2 linked regions of the Drosophila melanogaster genome follow. The protein of the gene in region 2 interacts with the protein of the main gene of each other region in a pairwise test. Each region holds a gene or a part of one and is shown on either strand. Other genes may lie near its edges.

Evidence for each region.
Region 1: the proteins of Madm (region 2) and bun interact in a two-hybrid assay, tested with the Drosophila melanogaster proteins (one study listed by BioGRID).

The regions. Positions count from the first base shown.
Region 1 is NT_033779.5:12,537,481-12,552,854, reverse strand, and holds the start of bun (bunched), read left to right. Parts: upstream 1-6,243; 5' UTR 6,244-6,445; exon of another isoform or gene 6,446-7,212; intron 7,213-8,511; exon of another isoform or gene 8,512-8,915; intron 8,916-9,256; exon of another isoform or gene 9,257-9,679; intron 9,680-11,952; exon of another isoform or gene 11,953-11,954; 5' UTR 11,955-12,339; exon of another isoform or gene 12,340-13,200; coding exon of another isoform or gene 13,201-13,527; coding exon 13,528-15,109; intron 15,110-15,173; coding exon 15,174-15,220; intron 15,221-15,374. UniProt on the Drosophila melanogaster protein: Probable transcription factor required for peripheral nervous system morphogenesis, eye development and oogenesis.
Region 2 is NT_033777.3:5,736,233-5,753,379, reverse strand, and holds Madm (MLF1-adaptor molecule), read right to left. Parts: upstream 10,871-17,147; 5' UTR 10,396-10,870; coding exon 9,265-10,395; intron 8,413-9,264; coding exon 7,630-8,412; 3' UTR 6,242-7,629; downstream 1-6,241. Other genes in the region: Sym (symplekin), read left to right, coding at 11,252-11,338, 11,409-11,602, 11,664-13,786, 13,863-14,785, 14,892-15,062; CG1236 (uncharacterized protein), read right to left, coding at 15,472-16,375, 16,452-16,591; CG2100 (uncharacterized protein), read left to right, coding at 17,124-17,147. UniProt on the Drosophila melanogaster protein: May play a role in subcellular trafficking between the endoplasmic reticulum and Golgi apparatus.

The sequences.
Region 1 (15,374 bases), on a different chromosome or scaffold from region 2:
ATTGGCATTTGGAAAATTGCACAACGACAGAAGAAGATGTTTGAAAAGAGTTTCCTTTATTTTTTTTTTTTTTTCGTTTGGTTGGTTGGTCACATTTGGGTTCTCGTTAACTGCGTGGGCGGTGGAGTAAAAGTTGTAGGAACACTGGGGTACGTAACTTCCTTACGTGTTGGCTGGTCATATTTTAGAAACTAATGTGACATTTCGATTATTCGATTGGATTTAATGTGTTTTATGAGTTTTACGCGCTCCAAACGTTTCGCTTTCTCTGCCACGGAGTGCGTGTGCTCGTTGAATGGGATGACAACCCTGGCAGGAGCGGTGCACACATATGGTTAGGCCTTGTCATCGCCTTGATTCAGAGATAAATGTCCTGGGCGTGGAGAACAAGTTCAATAAGAGAAATGTTGCCTACAAAATGAACGAATCCTTGGGACGACATTTTTATATTTGTTTCAACTATTATAGTTTTAATAATTTAATAATTTATCAAGTCATAAGGTATGTTGAAAAACATTCTTAACATTCTTAAGATACAATTATTTTAAAGATATATTGATTTACAGCATCTTACACTTGTTACGCAATGAAAAAGAACAAAATGCAATTTTAGGAATACCACATGCAATGCGTGAATGAACTTATTAAGTTGTAGTTGTAGATTAGAATATCTTTGAAACGCGAGTTTCCAAATAATTTGAAATGAAACAAAATAATTTATCTGGCTCTTAATTTTTTTCGTTTATTGGCAATAAAATCCAAATATAGACCGCAATATGTGTACTTGCCGGAATTCACTTATGCAGCTCCCCATCATCGTCACGATCTCCGGATAAAGAAAGCCAAAAGAAAAAAATGTGGTCATTTCCCTGAAAGTTCTCCCTCCCCCCGGCCGACCTCAACCCACCGGCAACTGCCATTCAAAGTTTAACTCATTTGTATGCCAAACAGCAACAGAACTAAAAGTTTTTTCATGTGCCTCCCCCACTTGGTTATATTGTATATATATATATATTCCACTTTTTTTCCCTCATCTCTTTTTGCGCCGCTCGGCACTTATTACTTATTACTGGACGATGGGCAAGGGAAAAGCCCTAGACATGCGAGACATGGAAATTCATCATCAAAAATGAATAATGTCTACACTTAATGCGACCCTGGATGTTGCAGACCCGAAACCAAATCCAAACTCCAATCCCCCAGTAGTTTCTTCCCTTGGACACTGAGGTTAAGTCGCATCGCACCCTGCTGAATCGCAATTCGCACCCCATCAAATGGCGGGGCGTGAAGCCAATGGAAGGCCCGGCAAATCCGTGTAGATCGGAGATGGGTCCTGCGGAAGGTCCTTTGGGGGGGGGGGGGGTGAAACGGTTGCTTGAATATTAATTGTGCATATGTAGACGAAGACCGGAATGAAAGACCCCAGCACAAAGGGAAAAACAAATGCGCAGACTTACGAATGCAGGCGACGTGCATGGCCACTGCCAGGATTGATGCAGTGTGTCCTGGCACTGGCGATGGGGGCATTGAGTCCTCAGATCTCTGAGTCAGAATCTAATAGATTTCTGCCAAGTGTCGAGATAAAAACATAATGCGAAGGCGGCGGGCTGTCAAAGGGAAATTACTTATACGATGCGGAAGCGGATGATGAGTATGTCTCTCAGGGGAATCCAAGTAGGTATGCCACAATGCATTAAATACCTTTCGCAACTTTAATTAGAAGAAGAATTAAAGTAAGATTTAGTTCATCAATGGGTTAACTAGTAGCATTTTTAAGGCTAAAAATTATTCAAAAAATTGTATTATTTTGAATCAAATCCAAAAGAACTATTTCATTTTGATCCCAATGAAGCACAATTTGTTGCGCCTTACGTGTTGCAATCATTCAACAATTGCGACACTTATGATTATGTGCACGCCCTCAAGAGCCGTCAACCCCTACCAAAATCAGATGATAGATATCCATAGGATGGTATGGTGAAAAAGTGTGGCTGGTAAACAACCCCAAATAGCCAAAAATATTTAGCCATAATTTCCGACCAGACTTATCCACTACGAGATCTACTGGGCAAAAAAAAAAGAAATACTGAGCAAACGAAACATTTAATGAGCTTTGAAATTGTTTTTTTTCTTTGTGCGCCTAATTTAGTTCTGCAAAATGAAAACCATTGAAAATGAAAGGGAGCTCCACAAATCAGGAAAAGTTGTTATATTCCATAATGCTAGTCATAAATTATGGGCAATTAATATGTAACACGTTAGATTCGAATGCGATTGAACAGCCTCTAATGGCCAAGTCCTTTGGCCATTTGTCAGCCTGGATTTGGCCATAAAAAAGCTATCGCTGGATCCCCAAAAGGCCTACGCCCCCGTAAACTCCTTCACTTTCGCTTTCCAGATAAATCACCATTAAAAAAACGGAACGCGTTTCGCAACGGACAATCCGCTGGCCAAAGGGACATAAAATAAAATTAACTTAAAAAGCAAATTCACGCAGACATATTTTATGTGGCAATGTGGCAATTCGGCTTTTTTTGGCTCATAACTCAATGGGCTAATCCTTTAAATAGGACATTCATGTTATCCTGCCTAGACGTTGCGGCCATTAAAATTAAATTTATATCTAAAAAAGCTACGCAGATAGTCAACTGTCGCTCATATTGATATTTATGACATTTGCAATGCATTGTAAATCCTATTGGATTGTTATTAATGCTTATACGCGTATATGTTTTTTGTTTACTTGTCGGGAATCAGGGAATTGGATTATATATATATATGTTTTGAAAGAAAAAATATTTGTTTTTTGTTGATTATGCTGCACGTATTTAATTTTTTTGCTTATTTTAATAGCTTGATTTGTAGTTTTTCTACGAAAATTGCATTTCTTTACACTGACTAATTTTCTTACAATATCAACTCAATTTACAATTCATTACTGTTTATAATTTCTTTCTTGCACTGGCCGCAGGATATTGGTAAGGACTCTCTCATCCCCCGGCAGCACAAATTCGTGAGGGTTGATTGGAAAGTTTTTGAGCCATCTAATTGGACGCTTTCGCCTTTACGTTTGACATTTTGCGCTCTAAAAAAAAAATGTTTTGCTTAAATTGTTGAAATCCGCTTATGGTCCTTAAAGGACCTCGGCCATTTTGGTGTGTGCCCAGCACGTTTTGTATTCAGTTTCGAATTTCGTTCGCCATTCGAAACTCAAATTGATCGGTTTAAGTTCTATGCTAAGCTACTTAAATGTCCTTAAGTTTCTATAAATGTAAGATGAGCCTGTTTGATGTGCTTTAAGGATATTTCTTCCTTTTTTTCGGATGCTATGTTTTCTCTGTACACTATTTCCCACTCCATCGGCAACTAAAATCGATAATATGCAAATATTTTTTGCATCCCCCACACACACACACGCGCGTAAAACAAACATAAATGTGGCGAGTCCTGTGTCCTTTAGCCTCCCCTCCCCCTCTCCCACACACACACACACACACACAAACTAAATAACTAAATACGCATTAGCATCCTGTCGGATTTTCCTTTATTATTGCCACGGCCGTCGGCGAAACGAAAGAAAACGAGATGCGTGGGAGGCAGGCAGGCGTGGCACGTTGCACGCGCTGCTCCTGCGGCACAGTGGGACAAAAGCCATTTTATCCCAGATTTTTTGAAAGTAAGAGAAATAAGAGGAAATACCTCCCATCAAGTCCAATACCACAAACAACTTAGGGATAATTTCCTACTATATTATATTTGAAGTTAACCAGTAGTATCTATTCAGAAAAATTATAAAAACCAAATTAAATTAAGATAAAATTAAGAACATTACATTTACATTACAACATTAATAACATTTCTGCCCCACTGTGCAGTACCCAGGCAACTGCCAACGTTCCAAATGGCAACAAATTCAAACGAACTTGTATGCAGAGTGTGACTGAAAGCATTATTAATAGAGAATGTCGGCGGCTAAACTCAACCACATATACTGAAAGCACTCACATACACGCAAAAGGGATATAAAAGCAATAAGGACATTCATCTTCATAATTACGGGCAGCGAAATGAGAAGAAAGTGCGAGGATGCGAGGATACGATGTGGCATACGCAGAGAGGGAAATTCAAATGAAACGCAAAAGTTTTGCATATGCGTTGGGGATGTGTATGCTGCCAACGGAGTTGTGTATTTCCACCTACACAGAAGAAAAAAATATTTATACTCCGAATCACAAATCGTAGAAATGAAAACTTCACAGGCAAAGCAATATACTATGTAACTATGTAAACTGTGTAATTGAAAAATTCACAGTCACAAAAAAGAATCTAGAACTTATTTTCGTTTTATCATAATCTGAAATAACATGAGTTATTATATATTATCTATTTTTCAATACAGAAAAATTAAAACAATTTCAAAAAAATATACATATGTAATTTTTTAACCTTTTTCGCTCAGTGTGTGCTTGACCAAATGGGCATCTCATGGAAATGACAGTTAAGCCCGCCAACGTTGGTCACCCCAATGAATGCCGGAGCCAGCATTTTCTTCCCCACGAATGCAATCAAATGGAAATTGTTAAAGAAAAGGAAAAAATGCCAGTGAGCACGATTGAGTGGATCGCAGGACTTTTGGCATTTCACAAGGGTGCAACGCATCGGTCTGCACTAATTACGCACCAAACATGTACGGCAAATCGTCAAACCTTTGAATGCCACAAGCGAAAAAAGGGGCAGTTTTTGGGGGGCGAAAAATGTTTGCCAAATGTTTTTCCTGCCTGCTGCAATTTAAATGAGACGTTGGCCAAATGCGAGGGTGTCGCCTGCAGTCGCTGTGTGAAAGTGGGCGGGGCGGGGCGGGGCTGGTCAGTGGAATTAATTCTAATCCCGAACACGTTCCGTTGCGAACGAAGTGGTCAGTTGCGATATACTATATAAATATATATATAATTGTATATACATGCATATGTACATATATAGAACTCCTTAGTGGAGTTTCAATTGGTGGAGGGTGCGTCGATCATTAGCGTGATTTCTTTCCGCTTTGACAAGAAAATCAGAACGCTTCACTGAACTCCATCAGGACGAAAAAAAAAAGAAAAAAGGAATGTCTTAGTCGAATGGTGTGACTATTAGATACCCGTTAGCCAGCTTAAGAAAGTTGGTAAGAGTTGAATATATTTAAAGTCTTAACTGATTAAAGTTAGCAAGCAGAGTATCAGCAAGGTACTTAATTAAAAGAAGAACCAAAGAGTTAAATAAATGCAAGAAGGTAACAAGCAGCAGTGCGACTATCAGATACCTGTTACTCCACAAAACTTTCTTGAGAAGTCTTAGCGCTAGAACAGGAAATGCTCAAAAGCAGTTACATAATTACTGGCAATAATTTATGTTTATTTTTAAGCTTTAATAAACATCAATAGAAAAATTTAATAGAAAAAATAGAAAACTGAGCGCCAGTTCTATGTATCTATTTTGTTTATAAAAACAAGTAAAGTATACAAATTTAAGCATTGTTAAGGTATTAATTTTCTTAATGATTCAAATTATTTGTTACATATATTTTTATAAAGATTTACCAATCGAATTTTAGTCGTTTGAATTCGCTTAGATTCGTTGAAATTCGCTTCTAAATCAAAGCAAAGAAGCGAACCAATGTAAAATATATGTAAATGTAAAATTGTTGGTTCGGTACTTCGACGCGGGATCTGTTTAACGATTTTTTCAGTGATTTCGACACAAAAAGAGTAACTACTGCAGTTATTTTGCTAATAAAAAATTTAACTATATTATATGATAATTATAGATGATATGATATTAAATATAAATATAATTAAAATTTATAATAGTCCGATTTTTGACCAGAACTTATTATCGACATTATATAAGCCCATTATATACAAAAATGATTCCTAAAACAATCAAATAAAAGTAGAGTTGTGCCACTCGCCTTAGTATAACTTAGTTCTAAAGTATATGTTAATTTTATGTTAAATTCATTTTCGAATAATGGAAAAACGAGCGCCAATGTTGCGCTAGGGATTTCTAAACGATATGTAAACGATATCGTATATCGCACGACAATCGCCTGCGTGTAGAACTTAACAATCGATAGTTGTATTTAGCACAGAACCAAACCAAAAAATGCTAAAATATCAGTTTTGAACAGTATAGTGTGACCGCTATATGTGCCAAAAATCCCGTATTCAGTATTTGGTATTATTATTTGATATTATATTTTTATTGGCATTTTGAGTTGGGACAAAAACGCAAGGCAAGTTGTTGGTCTTTTTCGCTGTCTGCAGACGGATAAAAAGTAAAAGAACGCAAATCGAACGCGCCGCGAACGTATTGCAAAATCGCTTAACTCGCGGCGCCCTTGAAAACGACGAGGAAAAGCGAAAAAAGGCTGCGAGAGCTAGCGCAAAATCGAAGAAAAAACTGTGTATGTGCGTGCGTGTGAGTGTATGAGTGTGACGTGTGCGTCGCTGTGTGTGTGAGCGAGCTGGCATGCAGATGTAGAGATGTGTGTGCGCTGCTGCTGCGGCTGTGTGTGCGTGTAAATTGAATAAGAAAACGGAGCACAAATGGCACTGATGGAAAATTTATATGTGCGCTGAAAAATTAATTTATTTGCAAAAAGCCAAAGAGCTGCGAAAAGTAAAGTGACAAGCGGAGAGATGTGCAAAATCGAAAGAACGAAAAATTGTGGATTGCCGACTCTCTGCAGATTTGAAGAGAGTGGCAGCGAAAGAGAGACATAGAGAGAGAGTTTGTGTATGTGTGGGTGTGAGCCGCCTTTGCCAGGAAAACTAAAAAGAAAAAAATTCCCTGGCGTTAAAATTTGCACAAAAAATGTTGAATTCGATTGTTTGCTTTCCGCAGTTCGGCGTTTCGCTTTTTTTTTTTGCACAAAACTTTTTTCGCCAATTTTTCATGCACGCTTTTTCGTTTATTTAATTCCTCTCTCTCTCTCTCCATCTCTCTCTCACTCATTTTTTCGCTCTCCGAATCGACTCTCTCGCAGTGCTCTCCGCTTTTTGCTTGTGCACAGCCAAGTGTCAAAACTGTCATTTACCTTCCTTTTGTCCGATTAGCAAAACGCAACGAAAAACTAATATCCCATCCAAATTAAATTCGTGGCCGTTCGCTTGTTTTAAGTTTATTGTTTTACGCCAAGAAACAAGTAATTTTAAATTGTTTGACATACGCGTAAGTGTGGTAAAAATGTAAAAGAGAGGCCTTTGCCTCTTAGTGCAACAAATCGATCAGAAAGTAACCAATAAAAAAGCAAAGCAAATCGAAACATGTTTCAAAACGAAGGAAAAATCAGAGAAATTCAATGAAACAAAAGTGCAAAACAGTCGCGTAATTGTTGGTGTGTGTGTGTGTGTGTGTGTCAGCGTGTGTGCCCATCCTTTTGGTCTGCTTCTTCACTTTCGCTCAGTTGTTGTTGCAGCTTGCACTTTGTACCTTAGATTTTTCCCATTTCCTCTTTCCATTCCCATTTCTCCAAAACAGCTGGCCAAGCATTTGATTAACTCCAATATTCCTTCGTTTTCTACTGTATTTTATGTGCCATTTACCTTTGTTTATAATGTCAGCTGGCCCGGCATTGTTGTTTATTTTCTGTTCTGCTTCGCCTTGATTGTTTAGTCAAGTGTTAGTTTTGTTTTTGTGCCATTTTGCAATTTTCTGCTTATTTGCCATCCGATATTATGGGGTAATTTTTTTTTCATATGTGATTTTTAGTAGAAATTCATATAAAAAATTGTGTGTTCTGTTTGGTTAACGGTAACTCGAATTACACACAAGTGTTTAGAATTATGGATACGTATTTAATAACAGCGGTGTGCAATAATAGTAGATTTGCAAAAACCAACCAGCATTTCTGAGAATATTAATTTCTAGTTTATGAACTAAAATATGAAATTCACTCTGTATGAGTACCCTTTTTATACAAACTTGAAATGAATAAATCTGATTAGCTTTGAATGCCCTTGAACCAATCTACAATATCTTCACGATCATAATGATCATCCCTTTTAACGCATCTCCGATTTCAAAGCAAAACAAAATAAACCTCAGGCCAGATCGGTTTTCTTGTCAAGCCGCGTGGCAAATTTTTCTGCTTACCATGCACCATTTTGTAACTATAACTGGACGATATATTTGCGTTTAGGAATCGGATACACTTCAGATTTCTGCCAACTCTTTGATACAACCGATGGCACAAACTCAGAAAGGTTTGGATTGTTTTGCGAGTTACTTTCATAGGTATCGGTATCAAGAAGTTGCAAGAAATAAGCTGGGGTTTCTTGAACAGGGATCTATCTGCATAAAAGAAATGCGTGTGCAGACAGTCACGTCGACCAAACCAGAATTCAATCAGTTCATTTTTTTTTGTAATGTAGGAATTTCGGGGTTGATTGCTAGCGGAAAAGTACCAATCTTTCAACAACTGGTTAACTTTTTGAATGAAACCATCATAAAAAAATAACTAATTATTTTATCTAGGGTATTGTCACTTTCGGTACATTTAACACCTATTTGCACCAATTTTCTTTGATGTCTTGTTGCTTTATTTACATTCTGCGACTCAATTCAATTGAGAAATTATATTCGATTTCAATTGTATCTGAGTATCTCATGGATGCATTGTCATTGTAATCTCTAGCTTGTTGTTGTTCCTTTTGCAGCCGCCTCCTCCTCATCTTCGTCGCTGCTCTTTTCTCGTTTGATAAACATTTTCATTGCCTTCTCTCTGCATACATCGCTCTCTCTCGCTCTTTCGGGTTCTTTTACTTCCTCCTACAACGCCTTCGTTTTTCTTTTCCTTTTCCCTTGCCATTTTTTTTGCATTGTGAATCATTTCCTTGCGGAAAGGAAAAGAGCGAAGAAAAGGTGGGAAGTGCCTGTGGGTGAAAGACAGGAAAGGAAAGTCACTGATTGAAAAGTTATTAACTCGGTTGAATTTTCATTATGCATTATTTAACACCCTGGTGTCCTTAAAGTTCAGTTTTATATCTGTCAGCAAGGTATAAATTTTTAGAGGATTTTTTAGAGGATAACCCATTTATTTTTTGTTTCTATTTTTTGCTCCTAAAGGCCTTTTTTGTTATATCCCATTTTCGTTTTTGTTTTTACCGATAGTCTTAAAGTTTAGTAGGGCTTGATAAGGTTTTGATGGTTTAGCTGAGAAAGCAGCAGTGCATTTTATTACCGTATTTTGTATTGGCAATATATCCTGGCTTACCTTTGATGCACTGCGAACAATCGGGACACCTTTCCTTTTGCTTTTCATCTTCTTCGGCTGCTGCTATCATCATCAATATTGATTACCGGCAGCTGTCCGAGAGCGGGAGAGTGCGAGCGAGCAGCCGCTCTCCTTTTGCGGTTTGTTTGGTATGCGGCCCCCACCCCGTCCCGCCCACTTGTAGGCGCCCACGTTGGTAGGAAGGAGCATGTGGATGTAGATGCGGTTGCGGAGGGGCCAACAGGCTGCTCTCGCTCTCTTGCAGCTCCCGCTCTCCGATTGCAATTTTCTCAACGCGCATTCGCTCGCTCACACTCACTCTCTCTCGCTCGCGCTTGCCTCTTTCTGTACTATCTGTTGTAGTTGCTTTTCATTACATTTGTTGTTGTTGGCTTGCCATCGATTTTATGCTTTGTCGTTGCAATTAGTTCTTCTTCTGTTGCTTGCTTCTTGTCTGCACTTTTAGTTCTCATTTTCTTTTCACCCCATCTCCTTGTTGTTGCTTTTGCTATTGAGGAAGGCAGTGAGCAGAGGCAGAAGTCCTCCTCCTCCTCCTTTCCATTCGCCGATTTGTTTGTGTGCGAAATCTGGTGCCTACAGCGATACTTTGATTATTGACTGCCGGGGGGTTAAAAGGGGTCCCAAGTTTATTGTCCAGAAGATGAGTTACAAGAATGGATACTCCACTTCCAGTGGTTCTTGATGAATTGGGTATTCTGGTTCGGTTTGGGTGTGCGCTTTTTCAATGGATTAAATTCTCTAATTGAGCCAATTTCGTCTAGATTAATTATCCATTCTAAAGAGCTATTGGTTTTCATTCATAACAACTGATGCCCAATTACCACAACTTTACTCCCTCAAATTATATTCGAAATCAACTTAAGTTGAAGAAGAAGCTTTGGGCCAACACCTGCGTGGCTCAAGAACAAGGCCAATAGACTCTTAAACCCCCAACAAACAGCAGGCCAAAAAACTAAAAAAAAAAAACAAAAACAAAAATACCCACCTTGAGAGAGTGCTACGACCAATGTTGACCTATAACTGATTTTTTGTTATTCAGTTGTTCTTCTGGTTTGCTGGTTTTGTTGGTTGTCTCTTTTTTTCGACTCTCCTAGCCACAGAATAATCAGATTTTTTTGCGTCGTTTATAACTCGATTAGGCAAAAGAAATAAAACAAAATTAAGCGAGAGAGAAAGAATAAAAGAGCAGCGTCAAGGTCTTGACTTTGCCTTCTGGCAGGGCAAACGCAGAGTTCAAACGCCACTACAGTAATCACTCAAAAGTCTATATATGAATTATTATATAAGTTTAGTATTCAGGTCAACAAAATGTCCCTCTAAACAAAACCGTTGTATGAAAGATATTGTTTTGTATATTTAGATATTGCTTTAATGACTCAATATTGAATATTCAATTTGATCTTCTTATTTTTGCTTAAGACCAAAAAAAAATTAATTCAAATTTTCTAAAATTTAAAAAACGATGGTTAATTATGAAGAATCCTTATCGAGGGCCCACTTTACTTAAACACACAAGTACACTCTCTTCTAAACAGTCCACGCAATTTATGAATGATCGTCGAAAAGCTTACGGTTATTAACCAACACAAGTGCGGAAAAAACGGCGCGTGTGCCCGAAAATGTTTGCAAAACTTTTTCGGCAACATTTTTTTTCGCGAATCATTTTGTGGGTTGCCTTTTTTATCTCTATCTCTTTGGTTAGCGGACTCATTTCTGATTTCCGTAAACGAAATCGATTAAATAATGAGCGAGGGCGAAAAAATCAATGCCGAGAGCAAATAAATATTTGAATATTCAACTGCAAATGCAAAAGATAATAAGACAATCAGCTAAAAATGAAAGGAGACTAAAAAAAAGTGTTAACAAACAAACAGACATTTGGCTTCTTTTTTCTCACTGGTTCGGAAGGAAACCCCCTCCGTTAAAATCTCCTTCCTCTAATGTAGCACTTAACTAATTCAACAAAACTACGACGTACCCCCACAACACCGACAACTCAATGAAATCAATAATAAAAAAAAAAAACTGAGGCGAAACAAAAAATAATGAAAAGCACACAAAAGCATCATCAACATCGTCATCATGATGATAATAAACGAACATGAACTACGCAGTTATGAAATTTAACTAGATACTTATAGAAAATCAGCCAATAAATACACAGTAGCCGGTTGGGTTTAACTTCAAGGGAATACTAAAATGTAGAATTTGAGCTCTTTGATTAGTTTATTTAGCTCGGCCACTAGATTTATGCACCCTTCAGGTAGAAGTCAGGCTCATCTTACCCATTTAAAACTTAAGTTTCGCCTATTCCTGGCGATAATTTCAAATGAATTGAAACGTACACTTTATTGAGCGAAAGATTATTTACTTTTCGTCATAATTTCATGTTTTTAAGTGCTCAAACGAACTCATGACAATTTTTTTTTTCTTTTATATATTACGTATACGTCGTGTTGCTCTGTGCAATTATTTACCTCTTTCATTTTCCACTTAAGCCCCACCCCCTTCGCGATCTTTGTGCTTGGCGTCGTTTTGTGTGCTTTTAATTTAATAAACAAATAATGGAAAATAATATTCATGTTTGTTCTTGATCGAATTTCGTACCTCTTGCTCTCGTATTTAATTTAAAATGAATTCTAATGGTATTTTCTTTTTCTGCTCTGGCATTTTACAGGATTTCATTTCTACAATTTACTGCAATGTGCTAGTAAAACTGAACCGATGAAATTGATTAATTCTACGATAAAGATATAGCTGAATTAAACCAACAAATTGAAAACCTATGCGTAACCGTGTGACGACAAAGTGGAGAAGTGCAACAAATTTATGAATATAGAAGTAGATGAATAGAAATTCCAAGTTAACCAAGATCACCAAAATATTTTCATAATTTCTAAGAAATATTTTAAGTGTGATACCAAGTTTTGAAACCACGTTTAAGCAACAAGCCTACTTTCGAAAACGAATCATCCAACTGTAGAAACTGAATCAAATCGAATTGATTCGATTAACAGCTGTGCTGTACACATGCACCGGTGTGTGTGAGAGGCTGCGCGCGTGTGCGTATACGTGATAGATCCGTGTTCGTGTGTGTGTGTGTGAGTGCTGCTTATGTGTTAGTGTGTGTGCGTCGGTGTTGTTGGCGAAAATTGAAACGCCCGCTAAACAAAGTCAAGCGCTAGATGGCGCTCTCGCCTGTGACCAGTGCTGTTGTTGTTGTTGTCGGTGTGCCACACACTGTTGTAGTTGTTGTTGATGCCGCTGCAGCATCAACAAACCAAACGCGGAAAGTCAAATTATAACCGCCCACCAGCCGCCCGCAACACAAAAAAAAGAGACCACCTAGCCCCCAATAAATTGTAATTTAACAGCCTAACTAAATCAACTCACCCAACACAAATAACATACACAAATTAATAAAGGAAAAATAGTAGTAATAGTCAAGAGTTTCGCATTACCCATCGTCGGTCGGTCGGTTCAAATTGCGTCGCGTCGGGTCGCGAACGTCGCTAGTCCTCGGATCGGATCGTATCGTATCGTATCGTATCGGATCGGATCGGATCGGAACAGAACGGAACCCTATAGAAGGGACGGTTACGGATTAGATTGGATCAGTTGGCAGTCAGAGGCACCTGACAACGCAACGGTAACCGCTATTATGCATCGGCGTCGTCGGTTGGCCAGTGCAACAATCGCATTCGAATTGGCAGGCGTGCAGCAGCTAATGCAACAACTGACAGAACTTAATTAAACAGTCTAATAACTATCATCATAGTCCGTAGTGGATAACTAAGAAATCGAAACTAACCGCAAGTTGGTATAGTTTATAACTTTTTCCGTGGCCCCAAATAATCCAAGAATCGTTAGCAATCCTGGATTATTTGCTAAAGACTTTGCGCACGCTGAAATCCAATTCGATTATGGCCGAGAATCAAAGTGCGGCCAGCAAAGATTCCGGTCACCAACAGCAACATCAGCAGCAACAGCAACAGCAACACCAGCAACATCAGCAACCACTAGCCACCACATCAGTCACGGCCGCTTCAACCACATCGGTCTTAGCTAACCAATCGCCCACTAACTCGCAGGCCTCATCCCCTGAAAATTCCCAGGAAGCACTGCCCTTGCTCCGACGCCAGCAATCAGCCGCAGCAGCCACAGTAGCAGCAGCAGCAGCAACAGTTGCAGCCACAACCAGCGGAACATCGCAGCAGCAGCAGCAACAGCATCGCAACAGCATCAGCAACATGTTCGATCGCACGGTGAATGCCAAGTTCAAGCCGGCTTCCTCAAATGCCGGACCTGGCAACAATCCGGTCCGTCGGAACTCGATGCTGACACCATCCCGTGGAGTCACTATCGGTGGCACTGGCGGTAACATACGCAAGCTGACCAAGGTCAGCTCACTGACCAGCAACCATCACTTTGCTGTGTGCTATCCACCCAGCAACATCTATCAGAATAGCAACAATGCCGGCAGCAATTCGGCTTTGCAGCGCACCACCAGCGAAAGTTTGCGTTTGAACATGATGAGTCGCGTGGCAGCTGGAGCGACACCCACAACGGTGTCCAGGGCCAGTAGTAACTCCAGCCTGGCCACATCCACCTCCACATCGCTGGCACCCAAGTCCAGCAGCAGCAGTGGTGGCAGCAATTCGACACCGCAGCAGCAACAGCAGCAGCTAGTGAGCAGTAACAACAGCAGTAGCAGCAGCAACAACAGCTTCACCAAGGCCAGTTCGCCCAACAATAATGGAGCACGTTCGGTGGGCGGAGCAGCTACGTCAGCTGCTACTGGCACAACCGCTGCAGCAGGCAGTCATCATCATCAGCCACATCACCACCATCATCATCATCATCACCACCATCAGCATCACAACCACCAGCAGCAGCAGCAGCAACAGACTAGCCTTAGCCAAGGACACGCTTCGTTAACCGTTGCCGGTGGATCAGCTTCAGCTGGTGGTGGTGGTGGCGGCGGCAGTGGAAGCTCCTCGGGGACCGCCGCTGGTGGCACCAATCGCAAACCAAAGACGACTTCCTCATTCGAGATCACCTCGGTGACGGTGGGCCATCCCAAGTTGAATGCTGCCGGCGATACTGGAGACGAGTCGGCCGATGATCTGGACGAATCTCACACGGATGACAATAGTCGGATAACGGACCTGGAGAACGAGACGCCCTCCATGTCGGAAGATACGTTCTCCAAGGAGGAGGTGTACTATGCCAACAATGCCCTCAGCACCAATGCACCGGTGATACCGACTAGCTCGCAATACGGCCTTGTCGTGGTGGATCCCATCGCCCCTTCGTTGGGCCAGACGATCCAGAATGTCCAGGTCAATGTATCGGATAACATTATCAATGTGGTGAGCGGTGCCGTCACACCGGGCGGCACCAAGAAGAAGGACGACATCAAGGAGACGCAGCACCGCAGTGAGCGGTTCAAGGTGGTCAAAATTGAGTCCACGGAGCCGTTTAAACGAGGCCGTTGGATGTGCATGGATTACCTGGATCACTCGAGTGTGGGTAATGGCGGTAATAACAACGAAAAGACTGGCTCTTCTACTTCCGAGGCGCACGCCGCAACAACGGATGGCGGCGCAGCAGGTGTTGGCGCTGGATCTGAGGCTCCGGCCCACAAGACCACCCAAAGTATGATTCTGCCACCCACCCAGAAGCTGAACGAGAATCATTTGGAGGCCAACTCGACCGATGCCAACTGGAACTATGCCGAGCAGCAGCAGCAACAGCAGCAGCAGCAGCAACAACAACAAACAATAGTTGGCAACGCCCTGACCAAGACATTGCCCGTGGCTCTTCGCAATGGTTAGTTTCTAAAGGAGAAATGCTCGGATTGAGTTACTAATTTTCCATTATTTCGTTTAATTAGTGAGTCGCAGTTCCTCGGTAACCCGAAGTCCTAATGCCACAGTCGAGGTAAGTAAATCCCCTGTTTACTTAACACTTCCATACGGTTAATTGTTTTCAGTAGCAGTTGTTTACTTAAATTCAAATAAATATTGAAATCGTAGAAATGTTCTGCGAACGAACTCTTTATTAGTCTTAAGAAACTTGACAACAGACACCGCTA
Region 2 (17,147 bases):
ACATCCTACTTATGATCATTCAATTCAAAATAAAGTTATTTTCAAAAATTTCGTTTGAGAGCACTTGCTGGAAGTACACATTATTAATTGTTATAAAATATTCAGAATATTTCTTTTCGTTTCACACATTTAAAAACAGTCGCTTAAGAGAAAACGATTGAATTCTGAGTACCTCGTGAATAGTTGTGATGCCTCACTGCTTTGACATCATTGTAATGGGGTTCGCAAATAAGAATCATATATACACTATTTAACTTCATTTATTTTTTCATATACAAAAATCACGTCTGATCGCTATGACCGCAAAATTACAAGAGCGAAAGAAAGAATACAGTTCAGTTCAATTAGCATCGATATATAAAATGTTAATCCGCTGTTAAGACAGCTGAAGCACCGGGTGACTCCGCTCATAATCCGTACATGCCGCCCGCCAATGCGTCGTCCAGCATGAAGGCTCCTTGTGATTCTTGATCCGTGTGTTGATCATAATTATGTTGAAATCGGAAGTGGACAAAGCTTTGTGATTGACCTCTTTTGAATGCCAGATTTCGTCTTTAATGTAACCACTCTGACTAGCGAGTCCGATCCAGGGTGCAGTTCGACGACTCGGCCTATAGTCCATTTAGCTGGTGGTAGATTATCATCCTTTATAATGACTAAGTCGTTGATGTTAAGATTATCTTTGATTTGGCACCACTTTGGCCGAGTTTGCAAGTGTGATAACCAATCACGAGACCATTGAGACCAGAATTGTCGCGTCATGTGTTGTTGTGCGAGAAATAGTTCACGCAAAGGCTTATTATTCGGCCGACCTTGTGGCGGTGCCAGTAGTGCGTCACCAATTAAGAAATGTGCTGGAGTTAGTACTTCTAAATCGTCAGGGTCGGCGGTTAGCGGGCAAAGTGGACGTGAGTTCAAACATGCTTCAATCCTGATCAAAACTGTAGTAAGCTCCTCATACGTCTGCTTGTGGCTGCCGACGATCCGTTTAAGATGATGCTTCATTGCTTTCACGTTTGCCTCCCAGATGCCACCAAAATTGGGAGAATATGGAGGTGTGAAATGCCACCTTGTCCCATGTTGACATGTCGATTCGTTTAGGGCTGCCTTGCAAGTGATGGGCTGGTTAAGCGATGTACTCGCGCCAACAAAATTTGTGCCGTTATCACTATACATATGTTGAACTTGTCCTCGACGTCCGGTGAATCGCGTAAATGCTTGCAGGAAGTGCTCTGTTGAAAGTCCAGTGACGGCTTCCAAGTGGACCGCCTTGGTTGCTAAGCATATAAAAATGGCTACATAGCCTTTGTAGGTGGTTGATCCTCGTACACGCGCGGCTTGAAGTTCAATCGCACCAGTGTAGTCAACTCCTGTTGTAATGAACGGACGAGTTGGGGGGTTGACTCGATGTAATGGCAAGTCACCCATCAATTGCTTCGCTACGACTGGAGCTACCTTAAAACATGTGACGCATTTCCGGATGATTCGCCTGACTGCTTGTCTGCCTCTGGGAATCCAGAATTTGTAGCGTATGTGAGCCAGTGTTAATTGAGCGCCGCCATGTAGAGTGAGCTGATGAGAGTGTTGAATTACCAAATCTGTAAATAGGTGACAATGAGGTAATATAATTGGATGTTTTCGAGAAAAAGAGAGATTTGAATGCTTGAGACGGCCACGAATCCTCAAGATATTGTTGTCAAGAAACGGTGTAAGATTTGAAAGTGTGCTACGGGGTGGTAACGGCTTGTTCCTTTTAAGCGCTTGGATGTCGGCGTGAAATGTATCGGATTGTGCAAGGCGAGCTATGCAGCACAGGGCCTCATCCAGCTCGTCAGGAGAGAGTGATCCGTGACTTCGTTGTGCTCGAGCATGAGCATTGTGGCAGAATCGTAACATGTATGCCGTGACACGTAGCAGTTTTGTATACGACGAGAATCGGTCAATAATAGAATCCTTTGTGTCTGACAAGGTAGTGAAGGCTCTAATTTTTATGGATTTGGCCTCCAGATCCCGTTCTTCTGGATTGAGCAATTGTGATTGCGTGTTTGGCCAAATATTGTGTGGTTTGCATAGCCAGGATGGGCCATGCCACCAAATATCAGGTATTTGGCTCGGTGGTAAGCCTCTGGTTGCGCAATCTGCTGGGTTTTCCGATGTGTCTATGTGGTGCCACTGAGCCGCTGAGGTGTGGTCGAGAATGTAAGACACTCGGTTGGCTACAAACGTTTTCCACCTAGTAATGTCTCCTTTAATCCAGTGCAGAACAATGGTAGCATCGGTCCAGTAAAAGGTAGATATATGTGCATTGGTCCATCGGTTATTCTCCAGCACCCATTTGGTGAGTTTGGTAGCTAATACTGCACCGCATAGCTCAGTGCGCGGTATTGTTAACGGCTTGGTTGGCGAAATTTTTGATTTTGCGACGATGAGCGTTGTATAGAAAGTCCCATCAGACTGTTGGGTGCGTGCATACACTGCTGCTGCGTAAGCACTGGAGGATCCATCGCAAAAGGTGTGCAGTTGTATCTCACTACTAAATAGTGGCGTAAATTTGACGCTGCGTGGTATTTTGATCGTCTTAACCTTCATTAGTTGCTGTCGAAATTGTTGCCATTTGACGGCAATGGTGTTGGGAACTGGCTCATCCCAATCCAGTGAGGTACTCGATCCGTCCTCGCGATATTGCTTCGCTAGTGTGATTTCTTTCAATATAATCTTTGCTGAAATTACAACTGGAGCGATTAATCCAAGAGGATCAAATAAACGTGCTATGGTCGATAGGATTTCTCGTTTTGTTATACCGGCTGGAGTATTTGCTAGTAATTTATAAGTGAAGCAATCTTGCTTGGGCAACCAGTACATACCCAGTGTTTTGATGGTGTCCGCATTGTCCCAACTGAGGGATGTCTGCTTGCATCGATGCTCGAGAGGTATCGTTGCCATCAGATCCTGGTCATTACTAGCCCATTTTCGTAGCTCCATGCCAGAGGATTTTAAAGCTAGCATAGTTTGCAAACTTTTCCGTATTGCTGCCTCTTGTGAATGATCGCCTGAGAGAATGTCGTCGACATATATCTCATTTTTGAGAACGTTGGATGCCATAGGATATTTTGTCTGTGTGTCTTCAGCTATTTGATGGATGACTCTTATAGCTGTATAAGGTGCAGACGCTGTTCCAAACGTGACGGTAGTTAAGCAATGCTGTTTGATGACTCCATCCGCCGCCCGCCATAAAATCCTCTGGTACTGCGTGTCATCAGGGTGGACATTGATACAGCGATACATTCGTTGTATATCGGCAGTGAAAACAAACTGATATTGTCTCCAATTCAAGAGAACGGCTGGCAGATCATTTTGCAGCGTGGGACCTACACATAGTACATCGTTTAACGATCTGCCATTTGAGGTCCGGGCCGATGCGTCAAAAACGATACGTTGTTTTGTGGTGAGGCTTTCTTCTTTGAAAACTGCATGATGTGGTAGCACGCATGATGCAACATGCCGACCGTAGGAATCCGTGGTTATGGTTGAGTTTTCGCTCGTCTCTGCCAACGTGATTTGACCTAGTTGAAAATATTCTTCAATTCCTTTGCAGTATCTGATCCATTTGTCTGGGTCCCTTTGAAGGCGCCTTTCGAGTTGAAGATATCTGTTCAGGGCGATCTGATGAGATTTTCCGAGCGTCATACTGGGGTCAAAGTTCCTCTTGAATGGCAAACGGACTTGATAACTGCCGTCTGGTTGACGTTGATGGGTCTGCTTAAAGAAAGACTCGCACCATTGATCTTCTTTGGAGAGCTTTGGGCGTTCTGGAACTGATTCTACCTCGCAAAATACCTTAAGCAGCTCTTCGGAGTTTATTATGGCATGATTACATCGAATGTGGCGTGTAATATGCGTGTTGCCAACATTGCCTAACAGAACCCATCCGAGTTGAGTATTCTGCGCTATGGGTTCGTTTGGCAAGCCAATCTTAGTTCCAGGTAACAAGAGTTGTGCCATAAGGTCGGCTCCAAAAATGATATCGATTCGCTTGGATCTATAATAATAGGGGTCTGCGAGCATGAGACCATGGATATGACTCCAGTTTCCTGCTGGAAAACTTTGACTTGGCATGTGTGATGTCAACGTGTTCAAAACATAAGCATCGTCGACCTTTAACGAGAAATTTGGGTTAGTTGCTGTTTGCACCGAACAACTTACGATGAATTTGCAGCGTCGTCCTGAATCTTGACCGACTCCGGTGATTGAAGTGCGAGTTGTGCTTCGGGAGAGCTGGAGAGACTGTACAGCATGCTCCGAAATGATAGTTGCTTCCGATCCTTGGTCAAGAAGCGCGTTTACCGTGGCCTGGCATCCTGTCTGTGTGTTACTGAGTACAACCCGAGCTGTTGCTAGTAGTACCTTTCGATGAGTCATAGATGAAGTTGTAGTTGACATGCACTGTAGAGTCGGCTTGGCATCTGAACTGGCTGCTGAACTTTGGCATGATGTCGAGGAGGGTATCAGCGTTGGCTGTGTTGCTGGAAAATGTAACATCGTGTGATGACGTTGACCACAATGAAGACAATTCTTGTTGCTGGGGCAGCTTGCTTGTGTGTGCGATTTTCCCAGGCAATTGAGACACAATTTTGCCTTGCTGGCCACTTCCTTCCGTTGGTAGCAATCCATTGAAAGAAATTGCGGACATCTTCGAAGTATGTGTAAGTTGCCACAATGATAGCAAGCGGACGCGGAAGCACCCGACCTGGTGTGGGCGCTGTGCACACGCACGCGTTTAGTACCGTCTGAAGTTTCATTTGACTGTTTCATGCCGCTGCACGCGTTACGGCTTTCAATAGCGTCTAACGTAACAAGTCGATCATTGAGGAACTGTTGCAGATCTTTGTATGAAGGAACGTCAATCTTGCTGCCCAGATGATGCTCCCAAGCTGTGTGAGTGTCTTTGGGTAGTTTGGTTGTTAGATAATGAGTCAACCAAAAATCTCCTCCCTGTAGTGGCGCCTTGACGGTATTGCAAGCGGCAATGCAGACGTTGACTGTACTAACCATAGACCGTATGTCAGCAGATTTTTCTTTCGAAAGATTCGGTAAGTTGTAGAGCATGTTCATGTGGCTGGCGAACACAATTCGTGGGTTGTTATATCGTTGTAGAAGTGTGGTCCAAGCGACTTCATAGTTTGCTTCAGTTAAAGCGATTTGGCGAATGTCGTTGTCCAGGCCTACTGGTAATGCTTCCTTTAAAAAATGGAACCTTTGAATCTTATCCAGACGCTCATTATTGTGAATTAAGCGTAAAAATGCATCATGAAAACTTGGCCAGTCCGCGCAGTTGCCAGAGAATTTCGGAACTGGTAATTTTGGCAGTGGTATCCGTACTTCCTCTACATGTGTTGTTATTGTAGAGTTAGCTGATTCGTTGTGCGTCACTGTGCCTGGATAAATTCGTTTCTTTTCTTCGGCCACGAAACAGTAAACTTCCATGCCCAGGTCTTCGAATTGGCTGATTGTATTTTGTTGCTTATACACACTTTCTTCGTAGTCTGCCATGCATATAAGTGTGTGATGCGCCTGATGAAATTCTTTGTTAAACTCGTCGATTTGATTCAAACGTTTTTCGAAATATATTTCCGTTTTCCGCGCACTCGAGTCTTTTTTCACATTACTGAACAAGCGCTTCAAAGACTCAATGCGGTCAGTTTGAACTCGCACCAGTTGATCAAATTTCGACATTGTTTATACTGACGTTGCTCCACTGTATGTAATATGCACAAATGCTCGTATGTTATCGGTGTTCTTCTTTGACGTCTTGTTTTTTTGAGTTGGCAGAGATTCCGGCAAATCTAACGGAATCGAAGGGCAACGGGACTTAGCTCTGTCGTGATGAGAGCGAGCGCGAATGTTTGCGTATACTGCTCTGTCGTGATGAGAGCGAGCGCGATAGAAAACGTAGGCACGGTGATTTATCTGGATGAAGCCGACCACGAAGATAAAATTGCCAAACAGCTTTTAGCAATTATTAATTATGATTCTTATGAGCAAGGTTCCCCTCATGGGCCACCAATGAATAGTTGTGATGCCTCACTGCTTTGACATCATTGTAATGGGGTTCGCAAATAAGAATCATATATACACTATTTAACTTCATTTATTTTTTCATATACAAAAATCACGTCTGATCGCTATGACCGCAAAATTACAAGAGCGAAAGAAAGAATACAGTTCAGTTCAATTAGCATCGATATATAAAATGTTAATCCGCTGTTAAGACAGCTGAAGCACCGGGTGACTCCGCTCATAATCCGTACACCTCGTAAAAACAAATTTGAAATGGTGAGTAATTCATATGTCCGTGGGTCTTAAATGGCTTTTTGTCACCTTACGGGATTTAATTTCAATATAGCTTTAGCACATTCTCAGAAAATAATAAATCAAAAGAAAACTAAAATCTGATTATCTGCCCCTATTCTAATTTAACTCGACTAGCTTAGAAAACAAAGAAAAAGACTTTGTATTTAGTCAGCTGGTTGCCATCTTTATTTGTTTAATAGTAGTGTAGCTATGTCTGTTGTGTATTTTTTTGTTGCATGCTCTGCTTGTGTTTTCATAGTTTTTAGTTTAATAATTTAGTTATTATTTTTCGTGGCCTTGCGTATTTGTTTATATTTGTAATACATTTAAATACATTCCACAGCGGTTTTAGGGTTTGTTCTCGCGACATGGCTAGCTTATGAAATTTGATAATGTCCTAGAAAAAATGATCCTTACATTGGCGTCCAGATGTTCGTTTATCGAAATCTAATGTGTCTGGGTTTTCGTATTCGAATCTTGTCTAGCCGCAGCTAGTCGGAGCTGCGAATTCCATTCGTGCTCGTTTCAGAGTTGTGCTAAGCGAATGCTTTGGTTTTTGTCAAGCTCGCTAGCAGCTTTTTTCAAAAGTTTGTGTCGAGGTGTCGCAGTGGATCGAGGTTTCAATTGGGACATGAGTCGAAACAATTCCTAGCAAATTTACCAAAGAAACTAAAGGACTAATAACATTGTTTTTAGCAGGCATGGAAACAAACGAATCGTTTTGAACCATGTTTGGTACTTTCCGCGTACGATTTCGAGCTAAATTATTGTTATACAGTATAATTCGCTTAGCTGCCTCGAGTACTTTGCACAATGCCTCGATGCAGGTAACTTAAAAATGCAGCTAACTTAATTTTTTTTTTTCTATTTTCTATTTTCTATTCACACAAAAAAATGGAAAAATAATGCAGATATCTTGCCGATGCAGCTAACTATCGATGCAGCTAAGCGAATTATACTGTACTTATAGTTTCTCTAAGACATGTCGCTAAGTGTTCCTGCGATTTTGAATGTTCATCGTGCTCGCGAGAGGCGACCCACCTTTGTCTGCCGCGTGTCCCACGTCATCGAAATCTTTAGCCTGGAAGCCTGGTTCAACATCGTTTATGATACATACATACATAAATATTATTTCAAATACATACATACATATACACATATATATAGGTATATATATAAAAATAACAAATAATAGTATTAATAAAATCGTAATGTGTAATTTCCCAATATAATAAAAACAATACGCGCCGGCATGCCCTGAATACTAAGCTGATACTTTCAATTGCTCGTCGTGCCCGAGTGTTCTACGTCGACGTCCCCGTCCGCGTTCTGCTGCTCCTGCGGTACATACATCACGGCAGTGCCCTGCTTGTCTGCATCCGAGGATATCGACCAGTTGCGCTCCAGCTGCTCCAAGGCCGCCATGGTCGCCGTGGTCGTCACCCCCGCACCGGAGCTCTCTGCCCCGGCACCGTCGCTCATAACGCCCGCTTTAAGCGTTTCCTCCAGCAGCACCTGGATCTTGTCCTGGTCGTCGAGGTGGACGAAACCGAGGCGCACCAGTTCGCTGGTGAGATCCGCCGCCGTATCGTTCTCGTTCACCTGGCATGTCAGTTGGCGGTTCATCTTGTCGTCCATGCGCAGCAGTATTGTCATGGTTATGTCATTGCTATCCTCTTTGATTTTAACGCTGCACATCATGTTAACGATGCGCCGCGACTCCGTGTCCACAGGCTCCGGCGTGGCCGATTTTACGGAGTCAGCCCGTTCCGGGGAGGCGGCCCGGGAACGGAAGTTGGGCGGCTTCTTGCCGCTGTACGTAATTAGCGGATACACACCATACTTCACGTCCTCGACGAACTTTTCCAGCTTATCGGCGCCTGAAACGTCTGCGAGTCGGTACTGCCGCTCCTGGCCGCCGGCCAGCCGCAGCTGGGCCATAACCACGTCCGGCTGGTAGTATCGCTGCATGAGGCCGTCGAAGGCGGTTTCCGAGAACATAGTGCGGTTGGCGGGCGAGAAGACCAGGCAATGGGCAGTCAGCAGTTTGAGGGAGTGCACCTGTAGTAATAGCAGCAAAAAATTGATTATTAACTACTGAGTTTTTCAGTTAATTACCTTTATAAAAGTGTTATAAGAATACCTTGCAATGTCATTTGAACCATGTACAAATTTATATTTTAAAGTCAACAAGAGCGAACGCTACACTGTTTTTCTCGAATATCAGACTCAAGTTGAAGTGCAAACGAGAAGTTTCCACACTTTAAAATGGCATACCAATGGATATTGACAAGACAAATAAGACCAAAGTATCGGCGTGGCAGTTCTATGGGGTTTCCGTTGGAGTGGACGATTCTAATGAAGAATCGCTAACAATATAGGGCTGAAAACGATTCCTTCTACCCGTTAATTTCCTCTTAACGAATATAGTAACAGGTATGAAAATAAAACAACAGACCCTCAGTAATCAAAATAAAATGTATAGTTACATATTAACCACAACTTGAACTTAAGATATAAGTGACTGTGAGCAATAAATAATATACTACAGTCAAAATGGATTGTAGAATTATCAACTGATTACTAGTTCTCCTTCCATTTATATACATATATATATAATATACACATGAATATAATATATTAAATTCTAAGATAATTTACGATATGATTCGGATAAAACCAAATTTAGAACTTAAATATTTAACGGTGCATTTAAATCATATAATTATTCAAATCTTCAGATTTCAATTATTTACTTAAAATAAAATTTAATAATATCAGGTGTCTTATTAAACTAAATCTCTCACTCGATGGATCCGAGAATTAGAATGCAAGGTCTAGTTGACAAGGCAATTGTTATGCGGGTCTTGAATTTATAGCATTTAGAACAAGATAATTGACTTGAAAACTCACCTCGAAAAGCAATGGGTGAAAGAGCAGATCATTGGCGCTGGGTCGGTCCTGCGGCTGCGGGTTGAGACACTTTCGTATCAGGTCGCGCTGCAGATCGTTTTCCAGGCTAAAGATTGTGCGCTGGATGGTCTCCTCGTTGATGGCAGTTGACTCGCTGTTACTGGGCTGGATTTCCAGGGCGGCCATCTCCAGGGCACACATCCCGAAGGCGTAGATGTCGAGGGCGGCGGTCAACTGGTCGGCGGCGCCGTACTCGGGCGCCTGGAAGTAGTGGGCGCCTCGTTCGCGTTCACGCTCCCGCTCTCGGCCGCGCCGGACGCTGTAGTGGACCGCGTCCGGGACCACCGAGCCGATCTTGACCAGGCCGTTGTGCTGGATGAAGATGCTATCACAGGTTAAATTGCCGTGGATGATGGGCGGCGAGCAGGAATGCAAATAGCTGAGTGCGGACAAAATCTGAGTGCACCACCGGCGCCACGACTCCAGCGGTAGCCGCTTGGCGTTGCGCTTGGTGCGCTTGAGGAACTGTTTCAGCGATCCGCTCGACATGTACTCGGTGATAAAGACCACCCTGGGTCGCTCGGCCTGCTGCGTGTCCGTCCAGTAGCGGTGGAACTTGACAATGTTTTGGTGGTCCAGCTGCAGCAGATTGTCGAACACCTGCCGCATCTTCTCCTCCTGCGACTTCAGCTCCTGTAGGCTGGCATATTGCACCTCATTCCACACGACCTCTACGCCCTCCTCGGTGTCCATGGCCAGATGGACGCAGTCAATACCGGGTACGTCACGCTGATCCACCTCCTCGCGTCGCTTCAGCCAGCGTCCACATGGCGACTCCTCCAAAATCTCGCTCTCATCCTCCGAATCGTCCCCGGACTCGCGTGGCGACGAGTCCAGATTGACGCCCTCGCTGCCAGCTACGACGCCGACGCCGACCGCAGCGCTGCTGCCCGCATCAGCTGTTGAGGCACTAACTATGTGCGGCGGGGGCTGCTGCGTCGACTGCGACGGCGGGGTCGCTGCTGGGCAGGATGCACTTACGGGGCCGGCCGCCAAGGAAGGGTGGTGCTGGATGGGTTCATCCGCTACCGTGCTACCGCTGATGCCGGCATTCGCTTGGCTATTTGACATTAGGGTGCGGTCACCGACGCGGCTGCGGCTGTTGAGCAGTGCTGTTCCAGTTCCAGAAGGCCTCGTCGTCTTCGGTTTCCAGTGTTTATTTTCTTTGTTGGACTGCCTACGTTTGCGCTAGCTTTTCGTGGTATCCACTACGGGGTCCGGGCAACGAGCTACATCCGCCGCTGCTCCTCTGCCGCTGCCTCTGCCCCACTCACTGGCGCACACATACACACGCACGCGCCCACACAGCTCATCCACTGCACCCCTCGCCCAGTAAACACTCCGCTGCGACGGCTGGCGGTTGCTGGGACGTTTTTCGGCACCTTCGACGGCGTCTTCTGTTCCAATCCTCGACTGCGTCGCGAACTGCGATCCGTTTGTTGCACTTTCTGGCCTGACACGCTGCCGATTCGTTTATTTAGGCGTTTTTTTCACGCTAAAACACCCAAGAAATGTGAGCAAATCGATGCCTCTGGCTTATCGATAGTCACCCCCGCATATCGCTCGGCCAGCGCAACTGCGGCATGCTCATCGATAATAACGCGTTAAGCTGAGATATGCCAAAAATGGCTTAATTTATGTGATTTATTAATTTTTTATACGGTAACGAGCAAGGAAAATTAGTTTGCAGGCGGTTCATTTGATTATAAGCCAAGTTTTTAGTAAAATATTCTTTTTCTTTTGAACACATTAAGAGCTGGCAAAAAATAGCTAGATGGTCCGGAAATATGCAGAATTACCAACATCATAGAACCGTTTTCGATAGTTTCTCAATGGTACCGATAACACCTTGCCATCCGTGCCGGCAGCTCTTAAAAATATCCGAAGTATCGCAGATTTAGGCAAAATCTGCATCAATTAACCAAACATGGATAGCATAATTGGACGCAGCCAGTTTGTCTCGGAGACGGCCAATCTGTTCACAGACGAGAAGACAGCTACGGCAAGAGCTAAGGTAGAACACAAATCTTAATCAGACAAGACAGTCCGGACTGCTGTATTGTACCATATATTTTCCCATTCAGGTGGTCGATTGGTGCAATGAGCTGGTCATCGCATCGCCTTCGACAAAGTGCGAACTGCTGGCTAAGGTGCAGGAGACTGTGCTTGGATCGTGCGCGGAGCTGGCCGAAGAATTCCTGGAGTCCGTGCTGTCTTTGGCCCACGACTCAAACATGGAGGTTCGCAAGCAGGTAGTCGCCTTCGTAGAGCAAGTTTGGTAAGGATTTCCATCAAAGGATCTAACTTCTTGCTGAAACGATTTATATTTTCCATCCCAGTAAAGTGAAGGTGGAGTTACTGCCCCATGTCATTAACGTCGTGTCTATGCTGCTTAGGGATAACTCGGCTCAGGTAATCAAAAGAGTGATCCAAGCCTGCGGTAGCATCTACAAGAATGGATTGCAGTACTTGTGCAGCCTCATGGAGCCCGGCGACAGTGCGGAGCAGGCGTGGAACATCCTCAGCTTAATCAAGGCGCAAATACTGGACATGATCGACAATGAAAACGACGGCATACGTACAAATGCCATTAAGTTCTTGGAGGGCGTCGTGGTTCTGCAGAGCTTTGCTGACGAGGACAGTCTGAAACGAGATGGAGACTTCTCGCTGGCAGATGTCCCCGATCACTGCACACTATTCCGCCGTGAAAAGTTGCAAGAGGAGGGCAACAATATTTTAGATATCTTGCTTCAGTTCCACGGAACAACGCATATTTCCTCAGTGAACTTGATTGCCTGCACAAGCAGCTTGTGTACAATTGCCAAAATGCGACCCATTTTCATGGGCGCCGTGGTGGAAGCCTTTAAGCAGCTGAATGCCAACCTGCCGCCCACCCTCACTGACTCGCAAGTAAGCTCCGTGCGTAAGAGCCTTAAGATGCAGTTGCAGACATTGCTGAAGAACCGCGGTGCCTTTGAGTTTGCAAGCACTATCCGAGGAATGTTAGTTGATCTGGGGTCCTCCACAAATGAGATCCAGAAGCTTATTCCCAAAATGGACAAACAGGAAATGGCTCGTAGACAAAAACGCATCCTCGAAAATGCTGCGCAAAGTCTTGCAAAGCGTGCGCGCTTGGCCTGTGAGCAGCAGGATCAGCAGCAGCGAGAAATGGAGCTAGACACTGAGGAATTGGAACGACAGAAACAGAAGTCTACTCGAGTTAACGAAAAGTTTCTGGCAGAGCATTTCCGTAATCCTGAAACTGTTGTGACCCTGGTGCTGGAGTTCCTGCCCAGTCTGCCCACTGAGGTGCCACAAAAGTTCCTTCAGGAATATACACCCATTCGCGAAATGTCTATTCAGCAGCAGGTAACCAATATCTCCAGATTTTTTGGCGAACAACTATCTGAAAAGCGCCTAGGCCCAGGTGCCGCAACCTTCAGTCGAGAGCCGCCAATGCGGGTTAAGAAAGTGCAAGCGATTGAATCAACACTAACTGCAATGGAAGTGGACGAGGATGCTGTTCAAAAACTGAGTGAGGAAGAGTTTCAGCGTAAGGAGGAAGCAACCAAGAAGCTGCGCGAGACCATGGAGCGCGCCAAGGGTGAGCAGACTGTTATTGAAAAGATGAAGGAGCGCGCCAAGACGCTGAAGCTGCAGGAGATCACCAAGCCTCTGCCACGCAACTTAAAAGAGAAGTTCCTAACTGATGCAGTGCGTCGCATCCTCAACTCGGAGCGGCAATGCATTAAGGGAGGAGTGTCATCAAAGCGCCGTAAGCTGGTCACCGTGATTGCTGCCACCTTTCCCGATAACGTACGTTACGGCATCATGGAGTTCATCCTGGAGGATATAAAACAGCGTATCGATTTGGCATTTTCCTGGCTCTTTGAGGAGTACTCTCTGCTGCAAGGATTTACAAGGCACACTTATGTTAAGACAGAGAACAGACCCGATCACGCCTACAACGAGTTGCTGAATAAGCTTATCTTCGGCATTGGAGAGCGTTGCGATCACAAGGATAAGATTATTTTGATTCGTCGAGTATATCTAGAAGCACCCATTCTTCCGGAAGTCTCAATTGGACATCTAGTTCAATTAAGCCTGGACGACGAGTTCTCCCAGCACGGCCTGGAGCTAATCAAGGACCTTGCAGTGCTTAGGCCGCCGCGAAAGAATCGTTTCGTTAGAGTGTTGCTCAACTTTTCTGTGCATGAGCGACTGGATCTGCGGGATCTGGCACAGGCCCACCTGGTCAGTCTGTACCATGTACACAAAATACTACCGGCTCGAATAGACGAATTCGCTCTGGAGTGGCTTAAATTTATCGAACAGGAATCTCCGCCGGCAGCTGTTTTCTCGCAGGACTTTGGTCGACCAACCGAGGAGCCTGATTGGCGGGAAGACACTACCAAGGTGTGCTTTGGTTTGGCCTTTACCCTGCTGCCCTATAAACCGGAAGGTAAGTTGTTGCTGTCCCGTATTAAAGAAGAAAAAAACTATTAAATCAATTTCTTAATATTCTCTTCCCCTGATAGTTTACTTACAGCAAATTTGTCAAGTGTTTGTTTCTACATCTGCCGAACTGAAACGCACGATCTTGCGCAGTCTAGATATTCCCATAAAAAAGATGGGTGTAGAAAGCCCGACGTTGCTGCAACTAATCGAGGATTGTCCTAAGGGTATGGAGACCTTAGTGATCCGTATAATTTACATACTGACAGAGCGAGTGCCATCCCCCCATGAAGAATTGGTTCGGCGGGTTCGGGATCTCTACCAGAACAAGGTCAAGGATGTGCGCGTGATGATACCCGTGCTAAGTGGCTTAACCCGATCCGAGCTAATTTCCGTTCTGCCGAAGCTGATTAAACTTAATCCCGCTGTGGTCAAGGAGGTTTTCAATCGATTGCTTGGTATCGGTGCCGAATTCGCGCATCAGACGATGGCCATGACCCCCACTGATATTCTCGTGGCTTTGCACACCATCGATACGAGTGTCTGCGATATTAAAGCCATCGTTAAGGCTACATCCCTATGTTTGGCTGAAAGAGATCTGTACACACAGGAGGTACTTATGGCTGTGCTGCAACAGCTTGTAGAGGTTACTCCGCTGCCTACTCTGATGATGCGCACAACAATTCAGAGTCTAACTCTGTACCCGCGTCTGGCAAACTTTGTAATGAACTTGTTGCAGCGTCTGATAATCAAGCAGGTCTGGCGGCAAAAAGTAATCTGGGAGGGCTTTTTAAAGACCGTGCAGCGCCTGAAACCGCAGTCAATGCCGATCCTGCTGCACCTTCCTCCCGCCCAGCTGGTGGACGCACTGCAGCAGTGCCCCGATTTAAGGCCAGCATTGTCGGAATACGCGGAGAGCATGCAGGATGAACCAATGAATGGTAGTGGTATAACCCAGCAGGTTCTGGACATCATCTCCGGGAAATCAGTTGATGTGTTCGTGACGGTAACTATGCATTTTTTGATTTAGTCTTAAATGAAATAATAGTAACTCAAATACCGAACCAATATCGAAGACGTTCAGCTACTACATACGAGTATCTTCTTTTCAGGACGAAAGCGGCGGTTACATCAGTGCCGAGCATATTAAAAAAGAGGCACCGGATCCATCAGAAATTAGTGTCATTTCCACAGTGCCCGTACTGACGTCTCTAGTACCACTACCAGTTCCTCCCCCCATAGGCAGTGATCTTAACCAGCCCCTGCCGCCTGGCGAGGACTAGTTGCAGTTTAATTGTTTTGTTTGCTCATACACATTTTTAAATTACTTAATAAGATAAGGTCTATAATTTTATAAACTCACTGTTCTAGGCGATAATACATAAAACCAAGGTCTTGACCGCACCCACATACATTATAAAGGAATATAATTTTGTTTGTTAATGATCAAAAGATTGGGAGTATACCCCACGCAAATAACACAAAAATTTCGATTCTGAGTGGCCACGACCATTTACGGATCAGTTCATTGCGAGCACTGTCATCGGCGTAATACAAGTGTTTCAATAATTTCAGTACCTTTAAAATACCTTTGAAAGTACGAAATATTTAATTAGAACATTGTACATAATTACAAACAGATGTTTTTAAAAAGATGTGGAAAAAATTCATTGTACGCTGAGATTACACGGCTTACAGCTCTACTTCGGCTACCATTTTATCGCCAGCTAAGGCAGCAAGAATATTTCTGGCTGTAATCCGGGACATTTCCTTGCGCGTTTCGATGTCAGCGCTGCCAATGTGGGGGAGAATAACCACATTATCCAGTTTCAGAAGAGGATCGTCGATTGGCAATGGCTCCGGCGTCGTTACATCCAGACCAGCTGCTAGAATTCGTTTGGTTTTCAGTGCCTCGTACAGGGCCTTCTGGTCTACAACGCCACCACGCGCCGTGTTGATAAGAATGCAGTTGGGCTTCATCTTCTGAAAGGCAGTGGCATTGAAGATTTCCTTAGTCTCCGGGGTTAGGGCGCAACAGACTACGATTAAGTCCGACTCGCGAAGCATCTCGTCAAAGTCCACGTGCCGGGCATTCACAGCAGCCGCCTCCTTGGGGCGCAGTGATCGTGTTGTGTATGTTATCTCCGTCGGCTTAAATGGCACAATGCGTGCCGCTATCTCTTGGCCGATGCGGCCGAAGCCCAGCAGGCCGACCCGGGAGCCCTTCAGTCCCTGGCCGCACATCCACATGGGGGCCCACGACTTCCAGCCGCCGTTGTAAACCTGCTTGTTGGCCTCGAATAGTCGGCGGTTGGTGGCCAGAAGCAGGGCAAGCGTTAATTCTGCCGTGGCATCCGTTAGGACGTCCGGTGTGAAGCCCACTCGAATTCCACGTTTCCTGCACTCCTCCACGTCGATGTGATCGTAACCCACCGAAATAGTTGCCACGCACTTCAACTGAGGACCGGCAGCATCCAAGACTTCCTTGTCAACCTTGTCCGTTAGAGCGCAGTAAAGGGCATCTTTTCCGGCCACGACGCGGATAAGCTCGGAGCGGGGCACCGGATTGGTCTCATGCCAGGTACTCACTTGGCAGCTGAGCAAAATCGTGCATGTCGAAATTAGTGTCTATGCTAATAACTAAATAGCCGGTTACAACAACAAAAACAAACCTCTTGCGCAGCAGCTCCAGACCGCTGTCATCCACATCCGGCCTGGTTACGTACACCTTGTGTTGGGAGCTCATCCTTCGAATTATGTGTCCCTGAATCAATAAGTTTCTGACTTGTCCGAACGGCAACCGCGGTGGCATTGAGTTCAAAATTTCCAAGCAAGTAGGTAAACAAAGTAACAGGTTCCGTAAGTGTGCCCGAATTTTACATTACACATTAATCCGCTAAAAAAGGAATATCACAGACATCGGGGATCTCGACTTTAGACTACCCTGTACATCGGCTTAAATTTTTAGCTACTTATTACCACTGCCTTTACCGCCATAGTTTAATTTTTTTATTCGTATTTTTATATTTTCATGTTGAATATTAAATATATATAAATAATATTAATACCACACTCAAAAAAAATATTATGAATAAAAGTATATTTACTTTTTAATGATAACGGTATGTCTCTGTCAATATCTTCTGTCAATATCTTTGACGGAAAACATCAGAATTATTATTATTATAACTTACTTTTCTCTCACAAAGAACGAGTAAGACATACGACTACAGCACTACAGGGTATACATCACATTTGACCACAAAACTTTCGAGTCTAAACATTAGATCTTAAATTTTTCGACATTGCTTAGAAGTTTTGCCGGGCGGGCTCGAATATCTTACATGAATGGACCAAGCCTCCTCGTA